Linked DNA regions of Callithrix jacchus. The protein of the gene in region 3 purifies or fractionates together with the protein of the main gene of each other region. This does not show direct contact. Links are inferred from orthologs where the notes say so. Each region holds a gene or a part of one and is shown on either strand. Other genes may lie near its edges.

Region 1 (7,570 bases), on a different chromosome or scaffold from region 3:
AGGCAGGGCAGGGCCACTAAGCCTTTACCAGCCCACATGGCTTCCCTTCCCATCAACTAAAGGACTTTGTGGTATCTGACACACCTCTGCTGAGCAAGACCAGAGTCTGTATCAGGCCATAACCCAAAATGTTCCGATGCCACCAGTTTTCATCCTGCTCGCAAAGTGCCAAGGATAAGCTGTACATCATCCTCATATAGTCAGCATTCTCTTGTTCAAGGACTAAAATTCCGTAACTGTAAAATAAGTCTCCTACTTGCCCTGCTTAGTTGATATGATTATCAGAGAAAATCAAGCAAATGATGCACACTAAGAAACATGGAAAAACAACCTGCCACACTCCTTTCCTCTCTCTATAAGACCAGGGTAGCAGTTCCCAAGCCCACCTCCAAAATCTTCAAAATACCTTAATTCTCAAGGAGAAAATGTGGCAGAGCTGTAGAGACAGGCCCCAAGACAAATGGAAAACAACCTGTCTGGATTTCCTCTGCTCATACTGTAGCACCATCTGTCCCCACACCGGCACGAAGCAGCAAGGAATGGGAAAGATTCAGGTGCTCTGGGTTGGCAGGGAGGGGCTGGGCCAAATTCCTCTGCAGACTCCAGTGTTTGGGAAACAGTGTAATGTTAATCTAATGAAATGCCATTCTCCCAGAATGTATACTCTGATGGGTAACTGAAGGCAAGGAGGAATTTGCTAGAAAAATAAACAAAATTTAAATTCTATTCCTTCAATGGAACAAATGCCAATAAGCCTCTAATAGAATACTACTGCTTTCGATCCCCAAATCTAAGTATTGTAATACCTTAGCACTGGTAATTGATCCGAAAGGAGAAAACTCTTTCCTTAATTTCTCATCATCAATAGTATCATCCAAGTTCTTAATGTAGAGATTCACCCCCTGAAGGAAAAAGATGACTGTTAACTGCACTTCTATACCACAAATATTCCCTAAGAAAGTGGTTCCCAAAGGGTGGCCCCCAGACCAGGAGCACCAGCATCTGTGGGAACTTGTTAGAAATGAAATTCGCAGGCCAGACCCCAAACCCCGTGAATAGGAAACTCTGGGGCTAGAGCCCAGCTATCTGTTTTAACGAGCTCTGCTGATGATTTCTGATGCCAGCCCCAAGTTGTGAAACTGCTGCCCTGAAATTGACAGGATCATCAGTGCAGTCACCTTTTGTCACTTCTCCCCACAGCTGCTCGTGACCGCTTCACCCCAGCAGGGGTCTTCTTGAAGCCATGCCAAACAAAGGAGTCTCATTTAAGTAAAAGGAACCTACATGGCTAAAAGCAACAGGCTGAGGCTTCCAGAATAGAGAACTTCTTGATGAATAACCTCATTTCTCTTGTCTCTGGTTCTATAATAATCAGTCCCATTGTGGTAGGTATATATCCTTTTAAGCCTGATATTCTTGGGGGAAATGGAAGGAAGAACAGACTCCAAGTCCCAAAAAACAAAGCCTGCTAATCGTAAGGGTATTCTGCAAACATTTCACGGCAAATCCCATTGCTGGGCTGGGCCAAGACCACCTTACCTGGTATCGACTAATTCTTTCCTGTTTCAACTGCTCAAATTTCCGTTTTAACTCTGCCTGCCGTTCTACTTTCTTTTGTGCACGGCCTACAAATATGATTTTCCCACTTATTTCTTTTCCATTCATCTCTTCCACAGCCTAGAGAGGAAAAATATGTCTTTAAAATCAAGTTGCAGAGATGGGGCCTTATTCTAAAGGTCTAAGTCCCAACTTAGGACTGAAAACTAAATTCATTCCACCTGTCACACAAATCCAAACTTCCTCATCTGTAAAGTGAGGTTAATATTTAAATGGGTTATTGATCTAGATAATATAGAAATAGTACAGGTGTATAAACACAATTGTGGTGACATGAACCTAGGGTGATAATCTTCTGGCTACCAGTAAATTCTGCAGGTGCTTATGTAGGTATTGAAGTGATAAATGCTAAGGGTCTGGCACAATGCTTTGCCAGCAAGTAGCTGCTGTGCTGTTATCAAATCAGCACTCCCTGGGCTTTAGTTCTCTCACCTATGCAGGGAACAAACATCTGTCCTATTCTTTCCATAACTGATAGCTGAGGTGACAGGTATGTGCCAAGTGCTTTGTAAACACCTACACGATACGTTAACATGTGGAACCCAGGAAGATGATCCCAGAGTACAGTAATGATACATCTACAACTAGATACTCAGACCATCCCTGCTCCAGCTAGATGATAGCAAGACCCTACCCGTACTCTGAGGCCACCTCTTACAAGCTTTTCCAGCCTTTGTGGTGCACTCACCTTATTGGCATCCTCGTGTTTTTCGTAACTCACAAAGCCAAAGCCTTTGGATTTCCCGTTGGGATCTCTCATCACCTTGACACTCAGGGTCTTACCTATCACCAAAGGACAGAACTATTAGTAACACCATTTCTAGCATAGCTAGAGAGAAGGCTTCCCTCTAGAAACTCACTGGAAGCAAATCTCTGGAGCAGTGTCCTCATCTCTTAAGAACAGATGGGTCTGGTGAACTGTGAAAGGGGATGAGGACCCCCAACTTACCAAACTGAATGAATAGCTCTTTCAGACTCTCATCATCCACCTCTTCCCCGAAGTTTTTGATATAAACATTGGTGAATTCCTTGGCTTTGGCTCCAAGCTCGGCTTCCCGCTCTTTGCGAGACTTGAATCTGCCCACAAATCTAAAAGAAACCATGAAGAACAGCAATCATCCAAAGGAATAAAACATGATTTCCAGGGACCCAAAGGAATACAGGATAAAGGCTGAGAGGAGAGGTTAAAACACGAGATCCCCATCCACCACCGAGGAGGCTCAGAGACACCCCAAGTCCCCAGCAGAAAGAGAAAAAGGCAGGACTATCCTGTGAAGACCAGCCCCAGGGCTCCTGGCTTAGACCAGGGCTACTCCTACCACATCACACTGCCTTCATGAAGAAACCTGATGACCATGTTTTTAAAACGCTCATTTCTGTGCAACTATGTAAATGCATAGAAAAGGTCTGGAAGGATACAAACCAAACTGTTAACAGTGGTCAATCCTAGGCATGAGATTGTTGGAGCGAAGGGGCACCCTTTGCTTTTTAAATTTATTCATTTTGGTACTGTTATACTTAAAAAAAAAAAAAAAAAACTTATCCATACACTGACATTTTTTAATTTCTTTTTAGTGGTATCTGTAGATCAACCACTGGATAGACATTATAAATTTAACCTACCCTTTGGTATGTTCAATGAGACAAAGGACAAAAATCATTTTTGCTTCTAACAGCCAAGACTTACTGTCTCTTCTCCTCCCCACATGACTTTGCTAAGTTCCCCCTCTCTGCATTCTATAGTAACAACCACAACAAAGCAACAAGGTCTATTATGAAGTTTTTCTGCCAAGGGATAGGATTTTTCATTGTCACCAAGTACTACTGTGGAGCCAGCCTTCTACTAGGTCACTGATTCATAAGTTAGAAAATGGAGAACCACGGGGACAATTTGGCATCAACCACTAGCGGGGGACCCATGGACAGACCTGAGTCACAGGAAAGCCAAGGTCACACTGCTAGTATACAGCTCCTGGTCAGTCCAGGGCCCTCTCCACTCTGCCGCTGGCCAAGACCCCCACTCAGAGTGAGCTTAGAGCTGCCTTCCAGCCAGCCCCAGTTGCTGATGCTCACAAAACCCACAGACAGATGCCTTTAAGGGAGAGGCGGCAGGCAGGCCATGGCTTGGGCAGGAAGCCCACCTTGGCGAGTCAAAAGGGCTGCCACGGCTCAGGCAGGGAGACTCACCAGCCCTGGAGTGGAGAGGTAGGAGCAGGCCACACTTGGGCCGAGAACCAGTAGCCGCCTTGTGTGTGCCAGTTAATACCGAGGTGGGGCCACGGCTGGCTCATGCGATGGTTGTTGCTCCGGACTGGGACACTCACACTTTGCGGTCATTGAGGAGCATGCCATTCATCTTCTCGATGGCCTTGTCGGCAGCCTCTTGGGTCTCGAAGTGGACAAAGGCATAACCCTTCGAGCCGTTCTCATCACACACCACCTGTCAAAGACAAGGTGGACCACTTTAGCACCACTGGCCAGCTCCAGGGACATGAGAACCTCAGGGTATCTTGTACCTTACGCAAAACACAGTGCTGCAAGAAGACAAACCATTTTCCAAGTCCACAACAGATTTTCAGTGTAGTGTGGCATTAGACACATACACCACCACTGTGTAAGTTTTAAAGTGCTCAGCATAAAACTGATGTGTAGAAGGAAGAGAGTGAATGTATGCTTCTAAAGGGATTAAGTTTACTGAAGACCAGAGACACTTCTCTGATCTGCTCCTTTCCCCCAACCCAAAAGAAAAACCTTCTGGGGCTTTCCAAAGCTTAAAAACAGGAAGGCTATTTCAGGCTGAGGAAAGAACAGTGCACAAAAGCACGTGCTGGTTATGCTGGGTGTGCCCCTGAGATTATCCATGGGAACTTTTAGGGGTCTATTCCCAGCATTCTGAAAATCCCCATACCCTGATGCCCACTTCCCAGGTAGTTCTCCATTTGGTTATTTATCTTGTTTTCAAGATTCAATTAATTATTCTGCTAAAATCATTTAATCACTGTTTACCTTGCAGGATAGAATGTTTCCAAAAGCAGAAAAAGTATCATAAAGTGCCTTGTTATCTATAGATTTGTCCAGGTTCTTGATGAAGACGTTTCCCACACCAGATTTTCTCAAAGAGGGATCCCTCTGAGACCACATGATGCGGATTGGCTTTCCCTTAATCACATCAAAGTTCATGGTGTCCAAAGCCCGCTCAGCTGTAAGAGAGAAACACATTTCAATAGGGATGGAAAACGGCAGCTCCCACAGGCCAACATCCTAAGAACAGATTACTCCAGGACTTTTCAAGGTAATCACCCTTGATAAAAGGCAACTCTATTAAAATAAAAGGGCATCAGATTCCTCCAGCCTGCACTGTTACTAAGGGCAGAGTAAGTTCCAGTTAATGACTCTACTTCATGACAGAAGTCTGAACACCCCTCTGGGTCTGTGCCCTTGTTGGATAAAGGGGTCATAAGTGAAGACAATCTAAGTGGCCTTAATGACACCAAGATCCAATGATAATACCTCACATTTGACCAAGCTTTACCATTTAGAAGAGACTTTGCAGACTACCACCCACCATGACTCAGGTGGGACAGCTGAAATTACACATTTTACAAAATGAACAAACTTAAGTTTAGGTAACTAAGCTTTGCAGCTAGCTAGTGATTAGGAAACTAATACCAGATTATCAAAGTTATCAAGTCATTTAGTCTGCAATCCAGGAGCAAATGATCTGGAGAAAAAAAGTGCTATCCCTGAATTCAGTCCAGTTTCTTTTATTTCAATTTCTGAGAACAAAAATTAAACAAAAAAGCATCAATCATCAAAATGGATACAACTGGTCATACATGGAAAAGTTATCTGCACTATCACCACAAGGATTAAACCATGATATCTTCTGCCTAAGCAGACAGTGCGCAGGTAGTAGGCCCCACACCTACTCGTTTCCAGGCCTTCTGAAGCCTTAATTGGAGTTCTGTAGAATTCTAGGAGTTTGGCTACCCCACGTGCCCAACCTATTTCCCCATGCAGTGCCTTGGAATGCTTCCTCAGCTTCCCAACCAAGTCTACGTGTGCGCCACAGAGAACATTTAAAGAACCAAAAGCTAGGCCGGGCATGGAGGCTTATGCCTCTAATCCCAGCACTTTGGGAGGCAGGCAGATCACCTGAGGTCGAGTTCAAGACCATCCTGAACAACATGGAGGAAACCCGTCTCTAATAAAAATACAAAATTAGCTGGGCATGGTGGCGGGTGCTTGTAATCCCAGCTACTCAGGAGGCCGAAACAAGACAATCATTTGAGCCCAGGAGGTGGAGGTTGCAGTGAGTCCAGATCACACCATTGCACTCCAGCCTAGGCGACAAGAGTGAAACTCCATCTCAAAAAAGAAAGAAAAAAAAAAGAAACAAAAGCTAAAATATATCGCCACCTGCCAGCCAAAACACTTCTCATCCCTAATGGCAACAAGGATGCCCAGATCTGGTGGCCACTTTTCCTTAAGGCTATTATGGCATCTACTTAAAATGACATCACCCAGAACCTCCTCCATGAGGGGATTTAGACAGGCTCAGAGCAGGACAACCTGCTCCTTGCCTCAAGGCAGCATCTCACTTAAATCGGGGGACAAAATTCCCCAACTCTGGCGCTCTACAAGCTCAACTGTTGCATCAGCCAGAAGAATTTATTTTCACTCATTATTTCCAACAACTTTTCCCACCCACTTCAGAAGATTGGCTCATCTGTATGGGGGTAGTTGGGGAAAGGGGAGATGACAAGACAGAACAAAGTCACAAAACAGTTCAGGTACAGAGGAGCTTGCTTTTGATGGCTAAGAAGAGATACACAGCTGGGATCGCAAACTATTTCATTAATTAGCATTAAAGGAGCCCATTTCAACACAGCTCCTCATCTATTTCCAGACAGCACTGCACAAGGCAAGCCGGCTTAGTCTAACAAATCTGGCTGCACTTATTTATAGCAGAGAGAGGTCCTGCAGAAGTATGTGTTGGCAGACACACTGACCAATAGCTTCTGCTATCTCTAAGAAGTCAAGAAGGCAGACAACAGCTAATGAGGTATACTATCCCCCAAAATGACCACACTCAGCTACCTTCTTTGTGCTCCTATGGCCATAGACAGAACTCAGCTAGTCCCTCTCAACATGTCCAATTCTCTGGTCTCAGTTGCAACCTGAGCAAGTAAACTCTGGGCCTCAGACAGTGAACAAAGTGGGGACAAAACTTGGGGCCCGTCATAATCTCTGCAGTTGTTCCTTTTTAATCTGGAGTCACGTGCAGCCTCTGATCAGGTTTCCTCTGGCCTCACTCCTGCCACGCCTGTAGCATACCTCTCCATGCTCCTGCTAAGGCCACAATCTGGGGTGGCAGAGCACTGTGCTGGGAGTCCCAACTTGGCTTCCTTTTCCTTCTCAGGAGTTCCATTTTCCTCAGATCGGATGAAGTAAAAGGGCTCTGACAAGTGTAAAGGGCTGTTACAGCTAAGGTGACAAATGCCACCAGCCCAGATTTTCAAGTGACTCTTCCACAAACTACCTCCACACCATTCTCTACAGCAAAGCCTGGATACCATCTGTCCAGAGCAAAGCACTCCTCCACTCCAGTGGCAAACACACTGACCAAGGAACCGGCCTGGCACACGCAGCTCCTGTGACACTAACCCAAGTCTTTGCTAGAGTTTAACGCACAGAATCCTTCCCCCTGCTTCCTGCCTGCCCTGACCTATCCCTTATCAGCACATCAGGTGGTCAAGGTTAGTAAAGGTAGGGGAGTGGGCAGAATCTTTGCAATGTAAAAACTTTTGAGGGGAGCTGTGTTTTACACGTCCCGCCTTTTTGGCAGGCCTGTGAGAGGGCACAAGCAAGGGTCTCTAACAGCCCAGCCTCACTGACAAGGACCACACACAGTGGAATGCCAGTGACTTTCCTCTACTCCTGTTTTACAGTC
Region 2 (8,023 bases), on a different chromosome or scaffold from region 3:
GAAACCTGGTCTCTACCAATAATACAAAAATTGTGCCAGGCACAGTGGCTCACACCTATAATCCTAGCACTTTGGGAGGCCAAGGCAGGCAGACTGCTTGAGCTCAGGAGTTCAAGACCAGCCTGGGCAACAAAGTGAAACCCGGTTTCTACTAAAATGCAAAAAAATTAGCCAGGTGTGGTTGCATACGCCTGTAGTCCCAGCTACTTGAGAGGCCTGAGGCAGGAGAACCACTTGAACCCGGGAGGTGGAGATTGCAGTGAGCCAAGACTGTGCCACTGCACTCCAGCCTGTACAACAAGAGTGAAACTCCATCTCAAAAAAAAATTGGCCAGGTGTGGTGGCGCACACCTGTAGTTCCAGCTACTCCAGAGGCTGAGGCATGAGAATCACTTGAATCCAGGAGGTGGAGCCTGCAATGAGCTGAGATCCCACCACTGCACTACGACCTGGGCAACAGAGACAGACTCTCTCAAAAATAAATAAAGGCTGGGCACAGTGGCTCACACCTGTAATCTCAGCACTTTGGGACACTGAGGTGGGCGGATCGCCTGAGGTAGGGAGTTCAAGAACAGTCTGACCAACATGGAGAAACCCCATCTCTACTAAAAATACAACAGTAGCCAGGTGTGGTGGCTCATGCCTGTAATCCCAGCTACTTGGAAGGCTGAGGCAGGAGAGTCGCTTGAATCCGGGAGATGGAGGTTGTGGTGAGCTGAGACTATGCCACTGCACTCCAACCTGAGCAACAAGAGCAAGACTCTATCTAAAAAAAAAAAAAACTTGGGCAGGTATGGTGGTGCACGCCTGTAATCCCAGCTACTCAGAAGGCTGAGGCAAGAGGATCACTTGAGCCCAGGCATTCAAGTTCAACCTGGACTACAAAGCAAGGCCCTGTTCACACATACACAAAAGTGACTTGGGGATTCCCAGAGATCAATTTGTATGTGCAAGATTAAAATATGAAAGGCCGGGCGCAGTAGCTCAAGCTTGTAATCCCAGCACTTTGGGAGGCCGAGGCGGGTAGATCACGAGGTCAAGAGATCGAGACCATCCTGGTCAACATGGTGAAACCCTGTCTCTATTAAAAATACAAAAAATTAGCTGGGCATGGTGGCGTGTGCCTGTAATCCCAGCTACTCGGGAGGCTGAGGCAGGAGAATTGCCTGAACCCAGGAGGCGGAGGTTGCAGTGAGCCGAGATCGCGCCATTACACTCCAGCCTGGGTAACAAGAGCGAAACTCCGTCTCAAAAAAAAAAAAAAAAAAATATGCTAAGCATGTAATTGTTAGAACTCAAAATTCAAACATAAAGAGAAAAAAGAACCTTTAAAACAGTGGCTTTCAAACTTTTATAGGTCATGAATCCCTCTGAGAATCTAAAAAACATTTCGGATCTTCATACAGAAAACGCATATATTCACGTATGCACACATCCACATACACACAATTTGAGGACGTTCATAGGCAACGCCACCACCCAAACCCCACCATCACCAGAATTTCATCACGTACTCCAAGATTAAAACTTCAAGTTAAAAAAAAAAAGTCCTCTTTTATAAAGGCAAAAACAAGTTCTCAACTTCTTTGAAAGTTAAGCTTATTTCTTTTTTTTTTTTTGAGTTAAGCTTATTTTTTAAGATCTACTGACAATATCCATGAATAAAGAGAAAAACTAAACATGTATTTCTTAAAAAGATATCAGAGGAAGCAATTTTAAGTCAATTAAAAAAATGAAAAATAGACAACAATGTATCACCAAGAATCAATGAGACTCATCTTTCCCATGATTTTAGAGAGCCAGATTTGCCCTTGAGTCCTTACCTTACTAACATTGAGTGAAGCTAGGGGAGGAGGGGTTTCTGTTCGGTCATTAATTATTTCCACTTCTGAAACATACTGTAAGTTTATAAGCAAGATATCTGCATGGTTGGGCTTTCCACTGGAAGAGGGACATTCTGGTAAGAAAAAACAAGTTAAGGAAAAATAGGACAAGCAGAGGCACTGACACATCCCAAAAGGGATACAGAAAACACAATTCACACAAGGCTTTAAAAGGCATGCCAGAAGCAAGAGGGCCTTATAAGAATCACAGCTCTCCTCAGGAAATCCCTGCCTGTCACCTTCCTCCTGCCCAAACCCTTGGAAGCCTCCTAAGGAATTCTGTCATCTTCTGTCTACTGGTTTTATGGAGCAGATTTAATGCGTTTGTTTTGAACCTAGGAACCAGACAAAAGAGCTAGAGATTTCTGTTCTTCGTATAACACTCTCTATATCTGCACAGTATTTTTACTTTTTCAGATGTGAGCGTTCCCATTTTGCAGAGGAGAAATCTACAGCACTGGAAAGGAAATTCCCCTAAGGTGACCCAGCCAGTTAATCCCATCCATTCATTCACACACTCATTCCCTAACCATTTAAGCGCCCACTGCATGTCAGTTAAAAACTGAGTAATTCCTAGTTCCAAGACTCTTCCAACTAAACTACTAATGTAAAAGGTCTTATTTGTTCCAGGTGTAACCTCTTATTTTTTAAAAAAGCAACTATTCTTGCTGTAATTAGTTTCAAAGGACATCTTCCCAAGCTAGAAATCTACAAGCAATGGTTAAATGAATTAAAATACTTGCCACTCAAAGGCAGCAGACTCAGTAGGAAACTTCATTTTGAAAGATGCAATGGCAGGGCGCAGTGGCTCACGGCTGTCATCCCAGCTACTCAGGAGGCTGAGGCAAGAGAATCGCTTGAACCCGGGAGGCAGAAGTTGCGGTGAGCCAAGATGGCGCCATTGCACTCCAGCCTGAGCAACAAGAGCAAAACTTTGTCCAGCCCCACCCCCCCACACACACACACACAAAGGGTCGGGAGCGGTGGTTCACACCTGTAATCCCAGCACTTTGGGAGGCCGAGGCAGGCGGATCACGAGGTCAGGAGATAGAGACCATCCTGGCCAACATGGTGAAACTCCGTCTCTACTGAAAAGAAAAAATACAAAAATTAGCTGGGCATGGTGGTTCGTGCCAGTAATCCCAGCTACTCAGGAGGCTGAGGCAGGAGAATCTCTTGAACCAGGGAGTCGGAGGTTGCAGTGGGCCTCGATGGCACCACTGCACTCCAACCTGGTGACAGAGCAAGACTCCGTCTCAAAAAAAAAAAAAAAAAAAGCCATAATGAATTACTCCTCAAAAAAAAAAAAAAATTGCAATAAACCCACCTGTAGCTCACATAAAAGGGGAAGCCGTGGCACATTTATTCCAACAAGGAAGTGTTTCGTTTCCAAAACTGAGTTTCCTGCAATAATTCAGAAATCATTTCCACCCCAAAGAAGCAGGCCACCCTTTCCAATCAGTTTAACATTGCTACTTTCAAAAGGGAGGCTACTACTACGTAAAAGTAAGGACTCCATGTGCTGGACTGAGCAAGGGAGCATGAGAACTTCACTCTTTTACCTGTAATTCGCACATCCCCAACCCACATAAGCCCCTGAAAAACGTGGCAAGCCCTCTCTGGACCAGGTTTCCAATGCAAACATCCCCTTAACAGCAATTTCCAAATGACCGAGAAGCCTAAAAATCAGCACAGCCCCCCCTACACCCACTCATCAGCGAAACAAACCACGATCCTCAGTTCAGATACAAACTCTGCCCTGCGCTTACTCTCCCCCAAAACAGGCAAGGACCATTTGGTCACCATCCCACTGCCTTTCTTGGACAAAATCCCATCAGTGGACATGCCCTCCTAAATTCCATACCTTTGCCCTACCAGCAGTTCCTTACCCTACACACCCCTCCCCATAACATTTTACCCGCCCCTCCTTTCCATCCGGGCTCCAATCCACCAGCCCCCTCCCACTACAACCCACTCCTAATCACCGTGTCCCCCCTAATAACGTTCCCCGCTAAAAGCCATCCCCGTGTCATGCTCTCCTCCACTCCCTGATCGTTGGTCAGGCCCCAGCTCCCGCAAGGGGTGAGAGACAGGGTCCCCAAAGCTGACCGAAGGGCCCGCGGGAGGGGGAGGGGAGCTCAAGGCCGTGCGCATGCGCCCCGGGCGCCGCGGTAGCCGGTCGCCCCTAGGCCGGGAGAGAGCCCCGGCCGCCGCCGTCGTCCCCCACCCGCCGACCACCGCACCTACACGCCGGCCCGGCCTCGGGCTCCACGCAGGGAAGGATACTTAAAGCCAGCATTTTGGACTGGTAGTCGAAGGCTACCACCTCGCCCTGCAGCCGCTGCTCCTGGCATGTCCGGCACGACACCTGGCTCCCAACGCTGAAGTACTCGCCCGGAGGAGCCGCCATCTTGCGAGTGCAGCCGCGGCCGGCGGCGGCGGCGGCAGCAGCGGGCGAAAGCCGGGCCCCCAGTAAGCGACGCGACGCAACGCACGGAACGTGCTTCCGTCACACGCCGGGGCGTGGCCTGGTGCTGGGTGGGGCGGGAGCCTAGGTGCACTAGGAAAGAAGAGGAAATAAAGGGGAATCTGAAAAATAATATTTGTATAGCTGCGTCCGCTCGGTTAAGTGCCTGTAGAGTCTATTTTAGAAGTTAAGGATAAATGACCTACATGGAATGAAAAGGGGAAAGAGGAAGGAACTGCAGTCTCCATTATATGCACTCCTTGAACACAAGAGTTCAATGAATGAATTTTATTAAATAATTTATATTATCCCCATTTTGCATATGAGGAATCAGAGCCTCAGAGGACTTAACGAAACTTGGTCAACATGATTATAACGGCCGGGCGCGGTGGCTCACGCCTGTAATCCCAGCACTTTGGGAGGCCAAGGGGAGGTGTAGATCATCAGCGGTCAGGAGTTCAAGACCAGACTGGCCAACATGGCAAAAGCCCGTCTCTACTAAAAATACAAAAATTAGCTAGGCGTGGTGGCGCGTGCCTGTAATCCCAGCTACGCGGAGTACTGAGGCAGGCAGATTGCTTGAACCTGGGAGGTGGAGGTTGCAGTGAGCCAAGATAGTTCCTCTGCCACTCCAGCCTAGGAAACAGAGCGAGTCTCCGTCTCAAAAAAAAAAAAAAAAAGATTATAACTACAGAGTGAGTGGAAAGAACATTGGCTGTGGAGTTAGATAAGCCGGAATCAGAATTTCAGGTCAGCTTACTAAATTACATGACCTTGAGCAAGCAAATTACCTGATCCTGTTTCTTCATAGGCATTTATATTGTCACTTCTTGAGCACCTATGTAACAGCCCTTTGAGGTAGGAATCAATGTCCTCCTTTTACAGAAACTAAGTTTTAGACTAAACTTGTCCACGCTTGCACAACTAGCAAAAACAGTCTGCCTATTTCCAAGGATGGTGCTATTTACTGCTATACTATATTGGATAATAATACCTACCTCAAAGTTAGAAGGTTTAAATGTGATAACATGTATATGTGCATGGCATATACTAGCTCTTTAATAAATAGTAGTTCTCCCTTTGTCATCCATCATTCTATGAAATCAAGACACTTCCCCTTCTCCCTTTTTGCCATCTCTCCCAGAAAGCCAGGCAAAAGGCAGGAATGAGGAGGAGCAAACAGTGACAAAAAGGGGCTTGGAGGAGGGGTTTTGCACCCCTGCCCTTTAATGTCCATCTGATACACAAAACAGTCATTTTCGGCCGGGCGTAGTGGCTCACGCCTGTAATTCAAGCACTTTGGAGGCCAAGGCGGGCGGATCACCTGAGGTCAGGAATTCAAGACCAGCCTGACCAACATAGTGAAACCCTGTCTTTAAAAAAAAAAAAAAAAAAACGGACGGGCACGGTGGCTCACGCTGGTAATCCCAGCATTTTGGGAGGCCTAGGCGGGTGGGTCACGAGGTCAAGAGATGGAGACCATCCTGGTCAACATGGGGAAATCCCGTCTCTACTAAAAATACAAAAAATTAGCTGAGCGCGGTAAGGCGTGCCTGTAATCCCAGCTACTCAGGAAGCTGAGGCAGGAAAATTGCCTGAACCCAGGAGGCGGAGGTTGCGGTGAGCCAAGATTACGCCATTGCACTCCAGCCTGGATAACAAGAGCAAAACCTGGTCTTAAAAAAAAAAAAAAAAAACAGTCATTTTCTTAATCTATGTAAAGGACTATGCCAATGCATTTTCAAGCCCTGCTACGGCCAATTGCTGTAGGTAATTGGTAACCCACCCACCCCTCACTGTAGAAATTTTGGAGCCTTGCTTCCTGTATGAGAAACAGGTTGACCTTTTTCTAGTCCAGAGGGAGGCAAAGGACCAGTCTTGGCGCAGCTTAACCTGAATAAAGTTCAAAAGTATTTCCTTGCCCTCCAAGAAACATAAACTTCCTGGTATTGGAGGTATGGGTACAATTATTGTAACAGGAATAAAAATTCTACTCTGGGCGGGGCGTAGTGGCTCACGCCTGTAATCCAAGCATTTTGGAGGCCAAGTCGGGTGGATCACCTGAGGTCGGGAGTTCAAGACCAGCCGGACCAACATGGTGAAACCCCGCCTTAAAAAAAAAAAATTCTACTCCTTTATATTGTGCTTTTTCAGAAAACTTTTTTTTTTTTTTTTTTTTTTTTTTTGAGACAGTGTCTCACCCTCTTACCCAGGCTGGACTGCAGTGGCACCATCTTGGATCACTGCAACCTGTACCTCCCAGGTTCAAGTGATTCTCCTGCCTCAGCCTCCTGAGTAGCTGAGATTACAGGCGTGAGCCACCATGCCTGGCTAATTTTTGTACTTTTAGTAGAGATGGGGTTTCACCCTGTTGGCCAGGTTGGTCTTGAATTCCTGGGCTCAAGCAATCTCCCGCCTCAGCCGGCCTGTCAAGTGCTAGGAATACAGGCATGAGCCATTGTGGCCAGCCTCGGAAAACTTTCATGCCTCTCATTCTTGTTCTGGCCTCCATAACAAATCATACATAATCACCATTCCAGTTTTTGTATGAAATTGTGATTATATAGCACAATCATTGTCCACTTTTTTTATGAAATCGTGATTATATAGCACTGAAATCTCCTCTGACATGATAAAAAAAATCGTGATTACAGGTTTTCATATATGACTTATAGACGCCACTAGGAAGTGAAAAATCTCTGCTGAGACCTGAAGAATTAGCAAGGAAAAAGGGTGGCCATGTTCCAGGCAGAGGGAACTGCATGGGTCAGGACCCCTAGGAGGAGAGAACTTGGCGAACTCAAGGAATGTATAGCTCAGAAATATTTTAAAGTGGAGTGTGGGAATAGGCTGGTGAAGTTTGAGGCTAGATCCAGGGCAAACTTTTAAAGCTTCAGTAAGAAATGTAGACTTTCTCCTTGGGCAATTAATTAAAAAACATCCAGCAAGGCAGTGAACTAAGATTTATACCCAGCTTCCCTCCCCTACACATTTTTTTTTTTTGAGACGGAGTTTCACTCTTGTTGCCCAGGCTAGAGTGCAATGGTGAGATCTCAGCTCACAGCAACCTCCGCCTCCCAGGTTCAAACAATTCTCCTGCCTCAGCCTCCTCAGTAGCTGGGATTATAGGCATGTGCCACCACATCTGGCTAATTTTGTATTTTTAGTGGAGAAAGAGTTTCTCCATATTGGTCAGAGTGATCTCGAACTCCTGACCTTTGGGAGGCCTGCCTTAGCCTCCCAAAGTGCTAGGATTACAGGCGTCCTCCACTTTTTCAATTAGTGATAGTAATATCTTTCAGAGAAGAACACAGATTTACATTCTAATTTTAATCTACCTATTAGAAAACTTTTTTTTAGACGGAGTTTCGCTGTTGTTACCCAGACTGGAGTGCAATGGCACGATCTCGGCTCACCGCAACCTCCACCTTCTGGGTTCGAGCAATTCTCCTGCCTCAGCTTCCTGAGTAGCTGGGACTACAGGCGTGCACCACCATGCCAGCTAATTTTTGTATTTTTAGTAGAGACAGGGTTTCGCCTCGTTGACCAGGATGGTCTCGATCTCTTGATCTCGTGATCCACCCGCCTCGGCCTCCCCAAATGCTGTGATTATAGGCGTGAGCCACCGCACCCGGCCTTTTTTTTTTTTTTAAAGATGGGGTTTCACCATGAT
Region 3 (8,027 bases):
ACTTGGTCATAGGCTAGAAGCTAATAAAAAACACTTTCAGATGAAAAAGGGAGGTTGACCACAATAACAAAACTTTAGAACAGTTCTTCAAGAATTTCATTCCTGCATTTTACTCATTACTGTCAGCAGGATACAGCAAGTATCCTCTTTAATAATAGTGGTTACAGGTTTCAAAATGTCTTCACATATATTACCTTATTAAATCCTCAGAAAAACCAAATTAAACTCAAATATAAATAATCTGGTAACTAACAAAAGCACTTAATAATGTATGCGCTTGACAGTAAAAATGCAACTTTTCCTTTGAAAATTCCCCACGATATTTGACAAACTACAAAGAGACCATTTTATGGAAGAGCAACCTTCTTGGCACTGGAAGTAATATAAGTCTTCTGAAGAATAATAGAGTACAGCTAGCAAGAGCCATAAAAATCCTGAAACCCTTTGACCTAGTAAAACCATTCTTGGGAGCTTTCTCTAAGGAAATAATTACACTGAAGCAAAATCCTATTAGTATAAAAATGTTGGCCAGGCTTGGTAGCTCACGCCTGGCCCACGAATCACAAGGTCAAGAGATGGAGACCATCCTGGCCAACACGGTGAAACTCCATCTCTTCTAAAAATACAAAAATTAGCTGGGCGTGGGGGCGTGCGCCTGTAGTCCTCCCTACTCGGGAGGCTGAGGCGGAAGAATCACTTGAACCTGGGAGGTGGAGACTGCACTGAGCCAAGATCGTGCCACTGCACTCCAGCCTGAAGTCAGAGTGAGATCGCAACTCAAAAAAAAAAAAAAAAAAGTTCATTGCATCACTATCTATAATAACAAAAAAGTGTAAACCCAAATCACAACAATAGAATGGTTAGGTAAAAACCCTAAATTTTTTTTTAATACTGGCCAGGCCAAGTGGTTCATGCTTATAATCCCAGCACTTTGGAAGGCCCAGGCAGGTGGATCATCTGAGGTCAGGAGTTCGAGACCAGCCTGGCCAACATGGTGAAACCCTGTCTCTACTAAAAATACAAAAATTAGCTAGGTGTGGTGGCACATTCCTGTAATCCCAGCTACTCAGGAGGCTGATGGGGAGAATCCCTTGAACCGGGGAGACAGAGGTTGTAATGAGCTGAGATCATACCACTGTACTCCAGACTGGGCAACAGAGTGAGACTCTGACTCAAAAAAAAAAAAAAAAGTATAATATAACGTTCAGGGAAAAAGGCTAACTACAAAATAACATACATACTACTACTACTATTACTACTACTACTATATAACAATGAAAAGGTTAAAAAGCAAAAGTAAGAATTAGACTGATGGTCGGACACAGTGGCTCACACCTATAATCCTGGCACTTTGGGAGGCTGAGGCTGGGGGACCACTTGAGGCCTGGCCAGCCTGGCTAACATGGTGCAACCCCGTCCCTACTAAAAATACAAAAATTGGCCAAGGGCCAAAGCTCATGCCTGTAATCCCAGCACTTTGGGAGGTCAAGGCAGGCGGATCACTTGAAGTCAGGAGTTGGAGACTAGTCAGGCCAACATGGCAAAACCCCATCCTCACTAAAAATACAAAAAAATTGGCTGGATGTGGTAGCAGGCACCTGTAATCCCAGGTACTTGGGAGGCTGAGACAGGAGTATCTCTTGAACCCAGGAGGCAGAGACTGCAGTGAGCTGAGATCAGGCCTGTACTTCAGCCTGGGTGACAGAGTAAGACTCCGTCTCAAAAAAAAAAAAAGAATTAGATCCAAGTAAAAATATGTTCTAATATTGTGACTACATTGTCTTCCCCAAAACAGTCACCTTCAAAAATGTGTACAACAATTAAAGACAGAATAAATCCCTTCTGAAAGTCATGAAAAGCTATTCACACACACATACAAAAAAAAAAAAAACAGAAGTCAAAATATGTTTCTTAAAGCAGATGTATTTCCAGACTTTCAAGAATATTTTGCTATCTCAAAACTTGTCAAACCCAACGCTGCATTTTCTTATTTCACCCTTGCTCTCAGAAACTTATTTTCATTGCTGATACACAAACCAAAGTGAGGCGATTCCAGAAGTTGAAACTTATTTACAAGGAAAGCAGTAAAGTGATTCAAAATTCAAAGTAATTCTACAAGTACATTAACAATCTGCACAAGAATAAATTTCACATTATACAAATCCAACACAGTAAATAAAATTTCACCTATTCATCAAAAAGAATAAAGGCTACCATTTAGGTCTCGAGTAAAAGAATGTAAAGCAAGGAAAAAAATCTAAATTAATCTTAAATTGTTGTAAAGCCTCAAGGAACAGAAAAAGGCCTTGTGGAACTAAAACATTCCAAGTATCTCTCATCACTCAAGCTATTCTGAAGCAAATTCTGCTATAATCTAATTTTTAAGCCTAAGAGTCAATGCAATTTAAAATCCTTAGTTTTAATTTGTATGTATTTGAACAAGTTGAAAATATCTGCCAAATCTCCTTCTAATACCTAAGAAAATAAAAACAATGCATCATTTTCTATAAAAATTGTACTTAAAATTTTTTCATTCCTCACTAGATGCCAACAAAAAAGGGAAAGTGAAGTTACTCTATGAGGGGAAATGATCACTTCACCTGAACTAGTTTGGCTAAGTAGTGGCTGGGATGCTTCAGACTCAGAGAAGTTGGGGGGGGGGGCGGGGCGGGGACGGGACGAGGCTTGTAAGTCAAATAACCGAAGACTATTTCAGCCCCTGGCCCCATTGAAGGCAAGAGAATTCCTTAAAAACCAGCTGATACCTCTTGATGGGGAACTTAAGCTGTAAATAAAAATTATTTAGAAATGGATTGCTGAAAATGTGTGTTCAAAAAGAAAACTCAGGTGCGTGAAAAATCCTCTTATCCCACCTTCCAAAACCCAAGATGTCTAAGGAGGACGCCAGTCATTGGCCCTGCCAAGCCGGCGGCCTAGGCCTAAGGGAGGCACAGTAGCGCCTGCAACACGGATAGACTTGGGGCACAGGGGAAATGGACTTGCGTGCCCTTGGTAAGCTCTGGCGGCACTCCCGAAGTTAAGGACACCGGCCACAATGGAATGGAGTCTATTGACATTTGCTTCTCCGTTTGAACACTAAGCATTTTCTTAGTTCGTGAAATACGAACTGACAATCACCACCCCCCGCCACCCTCAATAGGACCTCCTGCACGAACACACTCTCCAGAGTCAAAACCAGTTAGCCAGGACAACACTGATCCCTCGCCCCGTCTCTATCACAACCCCGGCTTAGGTGGGAAAAAGACACCAATAAACATTTCTGCGTTCAGAAACCACACCACGTCCCCTTCTGCAATCTCTCTCTCCTAGCATTTCCGAAATTGGGGCGGGGATTGGGAAAAGTGCGCAGGGCACCCGCTCCCTGCCACCAGCACCGCCGCCCCGGATCTCCCGGATCCAGCCTGGGTCCGGCCCTCGCCCACCACTGTTCACAGGCGCCTTCTCCACCGCAGCCTCGGAACAGCAATGCGGATCGGCCACCACCCGCGCGCCGGACAGGCCAGGCGGGGGAAGAATGGAGGCCGGGCACTCCCCACCCCTTCCCTTCCTTAGGAGGGGTAAGGCGGAACGCTGCAGGAGGCTGCACGGAGCCCCAAGATTCCACGGGAGTTCGGGAGCCCCCGCCGCAGCCTCGGAATCAAACGGGGAGGGGTGCGGGGGCCAAGGCCCACCTGTCTCCACCCAGTCTTCCGATCTTTCCCAGGACTGGGAGGGGGCGGGGAGAGGAGCCCCGATAGACCCTGATGATTCCGGAGGAGCCCAGTGCCTACCCCTTTAACGCGCACGGGGGACGCGGCCCTAACTTCTCCCCTTCTGAGATGTCCCCCACGATGGGGGAACGACATGTTCCGGAAAACGACACCAAAGCCTCCAGACCCCTCCAACGTTCACACCTAAACTGGGGGTGGGACGCTGCCCAAGCATACCCCTGCTGCGGGAGGAGGGGGCGTGCGAAAGGGGGAGCCAGGGGTGACCACAGCCGCGACCCGAGAACTCCTCCCAACACGCGTGGGGAGGGGAGGCCGCTGGCTCCCTCCATCTTGACCGCTGGGGGAGGGGGCGGGGATGCTGCGGGAGGCTGGACAGGCCTGACAATCCCAGAAGACCCCCGCGGCGCCCCCCAGCCGAGCCTCGGGACTCTGGCCCGGGCGAGTCCCCCACACGCCGCCAGCCCCCAGCCCACCTCGGGCAGCCCTGCCGGTCATGGGGCGGGGACCGCCGCGCGAGCCGCGGGGGAAGGGACACCGGGCCCAGAGCAGAGGGGGCTGGGGTGCCGACACCCACCTGCCCAGGCCGGGCCTCCCGCTGCCAGCGGTCGCCACGGCCGCCGAGGAAGAGGGAGCCGTGGCCGAGGACGAGGAGACAGAGGACGAGGACGGCGAAGGCACGACGGCGGGCGACGCGAGAAGGCCGCTGCCGCCGGGCTTGCGGACATTGGCGGCCGCAGGCGGCTGCGGCTGCTGCTGCTGCTGCTGCTGCTGCTGTTGCTGCTGCTGCTGGGGCTTCAGCGACATGGTGAGGGGCCCATACACCGGCTCGCACGCCGGGCGGGGACAGTCGGGAGCCGGGCGCGCCGAGGAGTCGCCGGAGCGCAGCGGGGACGCGAGAGTGCCGAGCGGGGAGGCGCGGGTTGGCGCGGCCGGGGGGGCGCCCGGGCTGACGAGGGGGAAAAGGAGGACGAAGAAGGGGCGGGGAGGCCCGCCGAGACCGAGGAACCGCCGGAAGCCGGACCGGGATGCGCCGCCGTTGCCGTTGCTACCAAAACAGTCTGAGGCGGAGAGAGGCGAGCGCTGCGGGGAGGGAGGGGGGCCAGGGCCGGGCGGGGGAGGGGCGGCGGAGGGATACGGGCCCGGTACCTCGCCACCGCCGCCCCGCCCGCTTCGCCGTGCCGGCCGCGGGAGCGAGCGCCCCCCGGGCCACCTAGCTGCGGCGAAACGGCGAGGCTCGGTGGCTGCCGCGGAACTCTGAGGAGGTGCGGCCGCTGAGCGCATCGGAGGCTGAGTGCGCCGAGGCGCCGGGTGGGCACGGGGATGCCGGATTGGGACTCTTTACCGGAAGTCGGAGGAGTCGGGCGGAAGCAAATCGTTAGGCGGACCCGGGACCGGGAGGGACACGTGAAGAGCGGGCGCACCGCTGGTCCGCGTTAGCGGGGGTCGGGTGAGGGCCAGGCGGCAGGCCCTTCCCAGGTCCGCCCTCTCGAGGCGGGTCTGCCCTTCGGGGAGGGCGTGTCGGTCTTAGCCTCTGGGGCCTGCCTGGTGTGGAGAACGGCAGGGAAGCATTTTTTCCCCCAGTGTATTCCTTCAACGTCCTCACACTCCTGCAGGGACCTCGTTTGCCCCCACCTGATGCAACCCAGAAAATGAACTGCGAGTTCTTTGGAGTGGAGAATTTATCTTTCTACGTGTAAAGCACCTACAACCCTGCCAGATTCAGGGGGCACACCATCCCGCCGTTTTCCTGCCGGGCACACACTAGGCTCTCCAGTGCCTCTGGGAACCTTCCAGGCAGGCCGCGCTATGCTGTCCTGCTGAGGCTGGAGTGGAGAAACCCTCCGGGGCCACCCACATCTGGGTACCTTTTCCCCACTTTTTTCATCCCAGCCTCGAAAACTCTTCTAGGTATCTGACCTTCATCTGAACTTTTTCCTCATTCACGAGATTCTGAAGGAAATATACGGGACTGAGACTGGTAGAGCTGAGAATAAGCAGACCTCACAAGAACGTGCGAACTTTAGACCTTGTACCCTTTATAAGTTTTAATTTAACTTAGCCAGCCAGCAGAGTAGACCCTTTATAAAATGTGTTGCAAGTAAACTGGAAGCAAGTAGATAACTTTTTTTATCTTGAGCAGCCAATCTAGTGTTTTTGAGTGAAATGACTTCAGGAAATTAATAGAGGAAGAAACACCAAAATTCCCCTTCAATGTCCTAGAATTGTCCAGATAAAGACCTAGAAAAACATGGAGAATGATTAAACCAGCAGTTTTCAGTAGCCCAAATGAAATTAAACTCCTAGATAGTCCAGGCAAAAATGATCATTGTATTCTACCAATGTAGGAAATCAGTTTTATTTCCCATCTAAAGAGAGACTGTCGCAAAACTCTTTAACAATTAACCTAGCCTGGCCAACATGGTGAAAACCCATCTCTATTAAAAATACAAAAATTAGCCGGGGGTAGTGGGTGCCTGTAATCTTAGCTACTTCGGAGATTGAAGCGGGAGAATCGCTTGAACCCGGGAGGTAGAGGTTACGGTGAGCCGAGATTGTGCCGCTGCATTCCAGCCTGGGCGACAGATGGAGATGCCATCTCAAATAATATATATATATATATATATATATATTTTTTTTTTTTTTTTTTGAGACGGAGTTTCGCTCTTGTTACCCAGGCTGGAATGCAATGGCGCAATCTCGGCTCACCGCAACCTCCGCCTCCTGGGTTCAGGCAATTCTCCTGCCTCAGCCTCCTGAGTAGCTGGGATTACAGGCACGCGCCACCATGCCCAGCTAATTTTTTGTATTTTTAGTAGAGATGGGGTTTCACCGTGTTGACCAGGATGGTCTCGATCTCTCGTGATCCACCCGCCTCGGGCTCCCAAAGTGCTGGGATTACAGGCTTAAGCCACTGCGCCCGGCCAATAAAAATTAACCTAAGGAAATTGGTACTAAAAACCCAGTTGAGGAAACAAAACAAAAAAAAAAAATAGGATTTTTTTTTTTTTGAGATAGAGTCTTGCTCTGTCACCTAATCTAGAGTTCAGTGGCACAATTTCAGCTCACTGCAACCTTCGCCTCCAAGGTGCAAGCGATTGTTCTACCTCAGCCTCAGGAGTAGCTGGAATTACAGGCGTATGCCAATACACTCTGCTAATTTTTGTGTTTTTAGTAGAAATGGGGTTTCACCATGTTGGCCAGGCCGGTCTTGAACTCCTGACCTTGTGATCTACCAATCTCAGCCTCCCAAGGGCTGGGATTACAGGCATGAGCCACTGCGCCCCCAGCCTAAGGGCCTAAATAGAAATACATTCTCTTTTCTCTGTTAGGAATCCAAGTCCCAGAATACAATCTTAAGACCAACTTTCAGGCCACTGGAAAGAAAAATGGAAGTTGAATAAGAAGGCCTAGGCTGGGCACGGTGACCTACACCTGTAATCCCAGAACTTTGGGAAGCCAAGCGGGGCAGATCCTTTGAGCCAAGTAGTAGGAGGAGACAAGCCTGGGCAATATAGTGAGACCTCCCCCCATACAAAAAAAAAATTTTTTTTTTTTGAGATGGAGTTTCCCTCTTGTTACCCAGGCTGGAGTGCAATGGTGCGATCTCGGCTCACCGCAACCTCCACCTCCTGGGTTCAAGCAATTCTCCTGCCTCAGCCTCCCGAGTAGATAGGACTACAGGCATGCATCACCATGCCCAGCTAATTTTTGTATTTTTCTTAGTAGAGACGGGGTTTCACCATGTTGACCAGGATGGTCTCGATCTCTTGACCTTGTGATCCACCCACTTCGACCTCCCAAAGTGCTGGGATTATAGGCGTGAGCCACCGCGCCCAGCCAAAAAATTTATTTTTTGAGACAGAGTCTTGCTCTGCTGCCCAGGCTGGAGTGTGCAGTGGTGCCATCTTGGCTCACTGCAACCTCCGCCTCCCTGGTTCAAGCGATTCTCCTGCCTCAGCTGCCTCAGCCTCCCAAGTAGCTGAGACTACAGGCATGTGCCACCATGCCCAGCTAATTTTTAAAAGTTTTTAAAAATTAAAAATAAAAGAAGGCTTGAAGCAGATGTAGCTGAGAAAGGTTGTTTTGACCCCCTACCATTGAATAAAAACTTAACAATTTTATCAAGATATAATTTACATACTATGAAATCCACCTATTTTATGTACTTTTTTTTTTTTTTTTGACACAGATTCTTGCTCTGTCACCCAGACCGGAGTGCAGTCATGTGATCTTGGCTCACCACAACCTCCACCTCCCACGTTCAAGCAGTTCTCCTGCCTCAGCCTCCTGAGAAGC

Evidence for each region.
Region 1: the proteins of ATXN2 (region 3) and PABPC4 purify together in Homo sapiens (affinity purification with mass spectrometry; 4 studies listed by BioGRID and IntAct, with this or other methods). This does not show direct contact. The link is inferred for Callithrix jacchus from reciprocal best matches to the Homo sapiens genes ATXN2 and PABPC4.
Region 2: the proteins of ATXN2 (region 3) and LSM12 purify together in Homo sapiens (affinity purification with mass spectrometry; 4 studies listed by BioGRID and IntAct, with this or other methods). This does not show direct contact. The link is inferred for Callithrix jacchus from reciprocal best matches to the Homo sapiens genes ATXN2 and LSM12.

What each region holds. Positions count from the first base shown.
Region 1 is NC_133508.1:76,103,981-76,111,550, forward strand, and holds part of PABPC4 (polyadenylate-binding protein 4), read right to left. Parts: intron 4,818-7,570; coding exon 4,624-4,817; intron 4,058-4,623; coding exon 3,942-4,057; intron 2,707-3,941; coding exon 2,567-2,706; intron 2,401-2,566; coding exon 2,306-2,400; intron 1,678-2,305; coding exon 1,540-1,677; intron 903-1,539; coding exon 807-902; intron 559-806; exon of another isoform or gene 424-558; intron 155-423; coding exon of another isoform or gene 85-154; intron 1-84.
Region 2 is NC_133506.1:70,910,242-70,918,264, forward strand, and holds the start of LSM12 (protein LSM12), read right to left. Parts: upstream 4,358-8,023; 5' UTR 4,294-4,357; coding exon 4,170-4,293; intron 1,958-4,169; coding exon 1,824-1,957; intron 1-1,823. UniProt on the Homo sapiens protein: Nicotinic acid adenine dinucleotide phosphate (NAADP) binding protein. Confers NAADP sensitivity to the two pore channel complex (TPCs) by acting as TPC accessory protein necessary for NAADP-evoked Ca(2+) release.
Region 3 is NC_133510.1:114,458,542-114,466,568, forward strand, and holds the start of ATXN2 (ataxin-2), read right to left. Parts: upstream 4,792-8,027; 5' UTR 4,536-4,791; coding exon 4,306-4,535; intron 1-4,305. UniProt on the Homo sapiens protein: Involved in EGFR trafficking, acting as negative regulator of endocytic EGFR internalization at the plasma membrane.